Linked DNA regions of Saccharomyces cerevisiae S288C. The gene in region 1 interacts genetically with each later gene. Each region holds a gene or a part of one and is shown on either strand. Other genes may lie near its edges.

Region 1 (3,829 bases):
ATCCCTTTTCTCTTTAAATTCTTGTAAGTCAGGATTTGCGAGTTCAGATGCGTTCATGTTCACCAGTTTATTTAAAGGCAATTTGCCCTCGACAACGTGTGCCTTCAGTTCCAAATTTTTTTTATCCTTTAAATTAGAGTATAACGACCTCACTTTCTCTGTGTATATCTTGTCCAAAGTACCAAACTCGACGTTAAGGCAAGCTTTGTAAAGTTCTTCTTCCAGATTGTGCGCAAACTCTTGCGATATCGATATAACGTCTTTCCCATCAGGAAGCTCATAAAGTTTTGCCTCAATTGTTTCGGGAACGATGAATTTGCTAAATAAGGTAGAGAACATTTTTTCTGCATTATACCTCAGTTTGTGTTCTTTTTCGCTTTCAAAATCTTTCCTAGTAGGCATTTCGTTTTCGGCAGTATCAGACTTGGCGGCATCAATGCTTTTATTCCTTTTTTTTGACCCATTGGATTTCTTCACCTGTTTGGATTTGATATGAATTCCTTTGGCACTATCGGGGCTCCTTTTTCGTTTCCTAGGGCTTTCCTCATCAAGAAAGACATCTGCATCATTGTCATCATGGTCATTTACGGGCTTGTAAACATCATCATGGTAATCTTCATCCTCTGAAACCTCTGCCTCCTTTGACGTTTCCAAATGTGCATACAATGATGGGTCGCACAATTCACAGTAGTACTTAGAATCTTCACTCATTAGCCCATCTATGGTGTCTTTACCATCAGTCATACATTTAATATGCTGCCAAGTGTCACAGCCATCGCACTGTACCATGTCGCCATGCGAATATTCTGCAGCATCGTAGTTTTCATTGTTCGCCCCACACAGACATCTAACATAGCCCTCATCCGCTTCGTCTACTTCGTCTGTTCTTACATTTTCAGTATCTTTCCTTGGCTCCTGAGAAGAATCAGACTTCTTATTCTTCTCTATGGCTGAATCAACTTTCTTTTTAGTTCTTTTTTTCTTTGGTGCTTCAGTCTCCTCCTGTAACAAATACTCAATATATTTATTCTGACCCTTATTAGATCTTGAAGAAGTACGGACAGACATAATAAATTTAAACTAAATAAAAGCTAAAAGTAAAAGAGAACCTAGGATAATCGATAGCTCCCTGTGTATAGAACAAGTCAAAATACTAAGATCTCGTCAACCTATCCTCTTTCATTGCAAGCCTTTTGGCCAAACTGCAGTCTGGGCATCCCTTTGCATGTCTTGTGAAATAGTATCCATCTCTCCCCAGCTCCCAGAAATGATATGAAAAGTTATTCGTGAAGAGTGATCCTAAAACTGAAAAAAGGAAAAAACAAAAATGAGCTAAAAAAACCACAACAAAAGAATATCAACTTCATTGCTTGGCGGGTCATCGCTTTTTTATTTCTTTCTGTCAAAGAATAATAAAGTGCCCATCAGTGTTCATATTTGTTACAAAGTGGTTTTCTGATTTGGTACTACTGCAGAGGCGTATTTTTTGCTTCAGTTACCATAGCGTAAGAACACTAGCGACTTTTGTTCGTGAACCAACAGAGTAGGATTTCTACTGCTACATCTCTTAGGTAGTTGGTTAGTCCGATCGCTCACTTTTGGTTGTTGTTAAGTACTTCATAAGTTTATCCTTTTCCTTTTTCACACTGAGCTACTTTGGGTATAGCTTTTGGCCCAAGGATCTTTGAATTTTCTCCAAAAGTACTTTATTTTATATCCTACAGGTTGCGGTTTTCATATTTTAAAAAGCTTTTAATCATTCCTTTGCGTATGGCAAACCCTTTTTCGAGATGGTTTCTATCAGAGAGACCTCCAAACTGCCATGTAGCCGATTTAGAAACAAGTTTAGATCCCCATCAAACGTTGTTGAAGGTGCAAAAATACAAACCCGCTTTAAGCGACTGGGTGCATTACATCTTCTTGGGATCCATCATGCTGTTTGTGTTCATTACTAATCCCGCACCTTGGATCTTCAAGATCCTTTTTTATTGTTTCTTGGGCACTTTATTCATCATTCCAGCTACGTCACAGTTTTTCTTCAATGCCTTGCCCATCCTAACATGGGTGGCGCTGTATTTCACTTCATCGTACTTTCCAGATGACCGCAGGCCTCCTATTACTGTCAAAGTGTTACCAGCGGTGGAAACAATTTTATACGGCGACAATTTAAGTGATATTCTTGCAACATCGACGAATTCCTTTTTGGACATTTTAGCATGGTTACCGTACGGACTATTTCATTTTGGGGCCCCATTTGTCGTTGCTGCCATCTTATTCGTATTTGGTCCACCAACTGTTTTGCAAGGTTATGCTTTTGCATTTGGTTATATGAACCTGTTTGGTGTTATCATGCAAAATGTCTTTCCAGCCGCTCCCCCATGGTATAAAATTCTCTATGGATTGCAATCAGCCAACTATGATATGCATGGCTCGCCTGGTGGATTAGCTAGAATTGATAAGCTACTCGGTATTAATATGTATACTACAGCTTTTTCAAATTCCTCCGTCATTTTCGGTGCTTTTCCTTCACTGCATTCCGGGTGTGCTACTATGGAAGCCCTGTTTTTCTGTTATTGTTTTCCAAAATTGAAGCCCTTGTTTATTGCTTATGTTTGCTGGTTATGGTGGTCAACTATGTATCTGACACACCATTATTTTGTAGACCTTATGGCAGGTTCTGTGCTGTCATACGTTATTTTCCAGTACACAAAGTACACACATTTACCAATTGTAGATACATCTCTTTTTTGCAGATGGTCATACACTTCAATTGAGAAATACGATATATCAAAGAGTGATCCATTGGCTGCAGATTCAAACGATATCGAAAGTGTCCCTTTGTCCAACTTGGAACTTGACTTTGATCTTAATATGACTGATGAACCCAGTGTAAGCCCTTCGTTATTTGATGGATCTACTTCTGTTTCTCGTTCGTCCGCCACGTCTATAACGTCACTAGGTGTAAAGAGGGCTTAATGAGTATTTTATCTGCAATTACGGATACGGTTGGTCTTATGTAGATACATATAAATATATATCTTTTTCTTTCTTTTTCTTAGTCAGGATTGTCGTTTAGCATAATATACATGTAGTTTATTTAATCACATACCACTGATTATCTTTAGAATTTTATAAATTTTTGAAATAAATGGGTGGCTTTTAATGGTGTCTATGTTAAGTGAGGCTTTTAGAATGCTCTTCCTGCTTTGTTTATTATATGTGTATGAAAGATATGTATGTATTTACATGTGTTTGTAGCGTCCCCAGTCAAAACCTGTGCGCTATACCTAAATGGATTGATAATCTTCATTCACTAATTCTAAAATAGACTTCTTCCCCAAAGAACGGTGTAACGATGAGGCTCTATCCAGCTGCTTATCTAAATCAACTTTAACGATGGATGATCTTATGACACGGGGATCTTTCTTTAAAGTTCTTAGAATTTCAGACTGTACCGCAGCTGATGAATCAAACAGCATTAAAAAGTGATATGCTCGAAAATGTTTTTCCTGGTCTTTCTTCATTATTTTAGGAAGATACCTTATGCCCATGGGTACAATGTCCCTCACCACACCTCTGTTTTGAATAATCAGTTTCCCGATTGTGGAAGACAATTCTTTTGCTTCCAACTTTGGCGCATTGGAGTTGGTTATGCGAACAAGTCCGATCAGCTCATAAAGCATCTTAGTGAAAAGGGTGGTTTTGCGTTATTCTTTCCTCTGTTGAAGCTTTTCTATTTTGTTTAAGCTGAACTAGTGGGAGTTTCCATTAAAAGGCTAAAGTCTTGTTGAAACTTTTCCGGGTTAGATGATAACTGCGAAAAGATAGA
Region 2 (5,329 bases), 110 kb from region 1:
AAACGCCAAGCGTTTAATTATCAGAAAGCAAACGTCGTACCAATCCTTGAATGCTTCCCAATTGTATATTAAGAGTCATCACAGCAACATATTCTTGTTATTAAATTAATTATTATTGATTTTTGATATTGTATAAAAAAACCAAATATGTATAAAAAAAGTGAATAAAAAATACCAAGTATGGAGAAATATATTAGAAGTCTATACGTTAAAACCAGAACGTGCACAATTTTTTTAATCTGCCAAATGGAAAAAACGGAAATATACGGAAAAGAAGTTGAAGTAATAGTTAGAAAGGCAAAAAAGGAAAGAAACAATTTAAAATATCTTAAGATTATATTAGAAACAAACACCAATGTTCATTTCATTCCTTAGAATATATCCGAATGAAATGACCAACCTACTTGTTTTGTAAACTGAGGAAGAAAGAATATTATTTCTCCGAAAACTTGTCATACCGTAGCTTGTCTTGCTTTTATTTGCTTTTGACCTTATTTTTTTCAAAAATCACCGTGCTTTTTGTGAGTTTTTAGATGTTGTGATAAATTGTCACTTCTACTGAATTTTTTCTCACAGAACATACAAGCAAAAGGGCGTTCCGTTGAATGAACGGATCTTATATGCCTTTTCAAGTGCTCACTGCGTCTGAATGCCTTCTCACAGTCTTTACACTTGAAAGGTTTATTTTTATCGTAGTTGTTGGGGTCAATGGTAGTAATAGATTTCCTTTTCCGAGGTTGGACAGGAACCTTACCATTGTTGTTGTTATGAGAAATAGTTGGACTTAAAGTAACACTTGACGACTTTCTTCTTCTTGTGTTTGGGCTTACCGTTGCCTGTTTAGTAGGTTGTTGTTGATGATGTTGAGCTGCATGGTGAGCTTGACTAGTAGGAAGTATTTTGAACGAAGAGTTCATCGAGATATCATAGCTTCTTCTTTGGAAAGCTGGTGTAGGTGTGATATTATCAACACCAGAAGTCGCCAATTTAGCGGCAGCAGAGGCATTATCCGACAACATCATAGAGGGTTTGATAAACTGTTGATCCTGAGCCGGAGATGACTTGAGAATGTTGAAGGGGTCTACGTTATTGTCGAATGCCGACATTGTGGTTGCATCTAAGCTATTGTAATTTAGCGCACCAAAAGCATCGTCTTCATTTTCTTCTGAAAGAAATGATGCGGAATCAGACAGAGGATTTGCCATCACCGAATCATTTGCAAAAGATTCAATATCATGAATTAAGGGCAAAGAGGCACGCTGTTGCCTTGTGGTGCTACTGCTATGGGAGATGCGATTTAAAGAAGAGGAAATGCTTTTTGGCTTTGTTATACCAGAGTCCTTAGAAAAATCCATACTATAACCGCTCAGAGCTTGAGAAACGTCATGATCTAATAATTTGAAGTTTGGATTAGAGTTGTTTATAGTGGTAGTAGGTGAAATGGTTGATCCACGCCTCTCAGTAGTGGCAGTACCTTCAGGGATAATTTGTTGAGTGGGTTTACTGTTGCTACTATTTTTGTGATTGAGATTCCAAAACTCTATCGAATGAGAGATCGAATTTCTAGAATCCGTCATAGAAGGAAAGGAAGAGGTAACCACCTCGCTGTATCTTCTTGCGTCGCGACCAGCGTCCGGCATGAACTTCAATGCTTCTTCTGAAGATACAAAATCCTCTAAGATTGATTGCATGCTATTAGTATTATCATTATTGGTATCGTCTAGATTATAATCATTGTCGTTCAATCCTGTTGTACTGTTGGCGTTGTTTGGTAACCTAGCATCTAGAAACAAATTGGAATATATTGAAGGTTCTGCCTCAAGAAGGTTTGTCTTGGGAGAAGTTGCATGTTGGTGTGGCGATAATTCTATATTTTCATTAAAATGACTGTCATTGATAGGATTCATTGGAGAAAATACCTTTTCTAGTTGCTCCAAGTTTTTCAATTCGTCATTTAAAGCTTGAGGGGTGGCTACTGAACTATATATCTTATCACCACCATTTTTCTTACCATTAGCATTACTGCTTTGTTTCTCACCGTCATTCACGAACTGTGCGTTATTGGAATTTTTCCACTTCCAGTTGGTAGCTAAACTGGCGGTATCCTTTAAATTCATTAAACTATTATTAGCAGTCGTATTAGTTGTCGCTGTTAAAATTGGAGTATTAGTGGCGTCCGTTCTATGCGGAGAATCCATTGAGAATTGACCAAAGGTATATTCCGGCGAAGATATGCTATTGTTCGCAGAATTGTCATTAGAAGAAGTAGCAGAAACGTTGGTTGTGCTCAATACCGGGTCCATCAATCCGTTTGGCTCGTTCATTATAGACGAATCTTCTTGTTTCTTGTTTGCGTGACGAACGAAACTACTATTAGGTCCGAAGACTAGCATTATATTGTTTTTAATAAGAAGAAAAGAAAAAAAAGCCGAACTGATAAAGGCGTTAAATATTCAAAAAGGAAATTTCACGTTTTAATTCTTTTCTCTATAAATGTTAATTCTCTGGAAATAAAACGGAAAGAGACGGAAAAATTCTTAAGCCTGTTGACCAGTTGCGAAAAACACATCACAGAACTGCAGTTGCTTGTTATATACAAATTTAGACAGAAATAAGATGCATAAAAATAAAATTTAAGTACCTACAGGTATGCTCATGCATCTAAGGGAAACATGTGTAGCATCAAGAGGGTAGAAAGGCCCGCAAGCGGAATCCCAGAAATAGCCATAATACTTTTGATAGATAAGAGACCTTTGTTAAACGCTCTTAAAAGGGTGGGTTTGGTTTATCCGGAGAATAGCAATGCGCAAACCTTATTGCTCAAGAGTCCTAGTTCTAGCTCGGGTTTTCAGGTTCTAAAAATGACCAGTACGCCGCCAGCAGTGAAACCTCGTGGGAGAAAGCCGGTTCCTGCAGCCTGACATTTGCGCTGGGTTTTCACGGCACCATGCCTAGCAGCCCTGGCCACTGTCATCGCTACCAACCGCTTCGTACAACAGTACCCACCAGCAGCCGGCTGCTGGCCCCACATAGAAATTGTTACGGATCCGTCCCCGCGCTCGTACTTTACAGCCAACCCCACCTTTTTCCCTTTTTCTTGGTGTGCGGTTGCCGTTCCTTCGAGGAACGGATCTTCGGGCTTTTTTTGCCGCGCTCAAAATGCCCCGGAGCGGCACTTTCTATGTATGTTTTTTTCTTTCATTTTATTATTTCCTAGTGCTGGCAAAATGATTGCTTGGAGCTCACAATACCTGTGAGGAGACCCCTTCCCCTTTTCTTTTCCCCTCCCCTGATTTCGGAAAATCAAAAAAATCGTTACGCTTGACAATTATTCCTTTTTGAGCGATTATTTTTCAAATTTCACAACTTCTTTGCCTTCAGAGGTCCTGGGTGCCTTACATCGTAGCATTTATGTTGCATCTTTTATCGAAAACATAGCTCTTTACGCGCTAAGGAAAGAAGTTGACAGCAGCTGGGTACACTAGGCAAGGTAGACGTTTTTATCAACTGTCTGTAGATAGATTCACTGCATCCTTATACTGCAAGAGATGAAAATTTTGAAAACCCTTCATCTTTTGCGGCTTTAAGCTTTCAATGAAATGTATGTTAAACAGTGCTTATCTCCTGTTTTTACGCGCAATAACGCCAGCGGCCTTGTTTTCCTCTCTTCTCCGTTTAGCGTTAGCCATTCGTTCAAATGAACGCTAAAAACATAAGGGCTACCCTTAAAAACTCCGCTATGAAGGCAAAAAATATAAACAGGGTAAGCACCTATATGTAATTTGGCACGACGTGAGCAATTTCATGTTGTGCAGCGGGATAGCAAGCTGTGCAGCGGGATAGCAAGCTGTGCAGTATTCTAACAAAAAAAAACACGAAGAAAAAGAAAAGAATAGCGAATTTCTCAGTGACAGTCTTCCAATCTTTCAGAAAGGCAAAAAAAGTGATTTCGTCATTAACATTAAGAGTTAGCACTTTACCAGAGTGCTATTGCCTTCCAACATACGTTCCTCCCCTCCAAAGTAGTAGTACTATATAGATAAAGCTAGGGTATTCTGAGCAAATATAAATCAAACTAAAGTGATTCATAATTATAGAAAATATGCAGGGCGATATCAGAAGGAAAAAAGATCTTTTACCTCGTTATAAAACAGGAAGCAAATATAATTCCAGAAGAAGGGGCGGTTATCTGACTACCCCTATGAAAAAGATTATAGTATACATTATACTGTTATGTGGCGTTTATTTCGTTATAAAAGTTGCCTATTCTGATCTGAATAAAGAAACTGAGATCAAGCTAGAAAGCCATTCTTCTGATGTTTCTGCAAGTGCAAGCGATCATACCAATATTGCAGCCGGCGGTGCAGCTGATGCGACTAACAATAAGCAACCACAACAAGCTAAAGTACCTAAAGAAAAGTTCAATAATGAAGTCGCAAAGCAACAAGAAGTAAAGAATTTGGAGAACGATTTGAAACCACAAATTGATTCAGAAAAGCAAAAACAAATAAACAAGGACAAAAAAGAACAAAAACAGCAACTCCAGAAAGAGAAACAAGATCTCGCCAAGGAAAATTTGGCTAACAATGAAATCCTTGATAATTAACCAATTCAAAACTTCCAACAGTTTGGTGATGAAAATAATAAATGTTTTACGTTAACCTTATTGATTAACCTCACCTCCCTTATTCTTTGTATAGTATAAGTGCATACTAACATACTGTGTACGTACATAAAGATATGCAGAACGTTCACAAACATGTAGAAACCAGACACGAAAAAAAAAAAAAAAAAAAACATAAATAGATTAAAGATATTTATCACCACAAGTATACGATACGGCGCTGATAATTTACAATTCTATCCTTCGGGAAAGACAACAATAATTTAGGCTGATAATTAAAATCGAAGGAAAAGCAAGCGCTAATGCGCGAAAAAACACTTAAATTAAAACCCGAATCTTCTCTTAGTATACATATATGCAGAACATGCTAGCATACACATAAAAAGCACAATGCCTATAAACCATGTCAACGAATCCCTGTATTGTCCGGGCACGATAACATTCATACCCCACAGACCCGTAATCACATTCATTGGCAGAACAATAGTACCCAGTATGGTAATTTTTCCCAAAACGTCGTTCATGTCATTATTAACCTTCGTCATATCAATGTTGATTTGTGCCAGATAATTTGAATGCGATCTACTTAACAGTTTTTCATAATGGTTTAGCGATGAGACCATGGTTACAATATGATCTTGAATATCACCCAAATACATTGCGATTTCAGATTGTGGCGAAGCTTCCCATTGCTCATTATACCTT

The links. Genes that interact genetically often act in the same process or in processes that back each other up.
Region 2: mutations in AUR1 (region 1) and MSN4 impair growth when combined (synthetic growth defect), as found in Saccharomyces cerevisiae (one study listed by BioGRID).

What each region holds. Positions count from the first base shown.
Region 1 is NC_001143.9:433,810-437,638, forward strand, and holds AUR1 (inositol phosphorylceramide synthase), read left to right. Parts: upstream 1-1,770; coding exon 1,771-2,976; downstream 2,977-3,829. Other genes in the region: BYE1 (Bye1p), read right to left, coding at 1-1,068; mitochondrial 37S ribosomal protein bS6m MRP17, read right to left, coding at 3,288-3,683. UniProt on the Saccharomyces cerevisiae protein: Catalytic component of the inositol phosphorylceramide synthase which catalyzes the addition of a phosphorylinositol group onto ceramide to form inositol phosphorylceramide, an essential step in sphingolipid biosynthesis.
Region 2 is NC_001143.9:320,292-325,620, reverse strand, and holds MSN4 (stress-responsive transcriptional activator MSN4), read right to left. Parts: upstream 2,394-5,329; coding exon 501-2,393; downstream 1-500. Other genes in the region: YKL063C (uncharacterized protein), read left to right, coding at 4,103-4,606; putative Mg(2+) transporter MNR2, read right to left, coding at 4,948-5,329. UniProt on the Saccharomyces cerevisiae protein: Positive transcriptional factor that acts as a component of the stress responsive system. Recognizes and binds to the stress response element (STRE) which is involved in the response to various forms of stress (heat, oxidative, osmotic, etc.).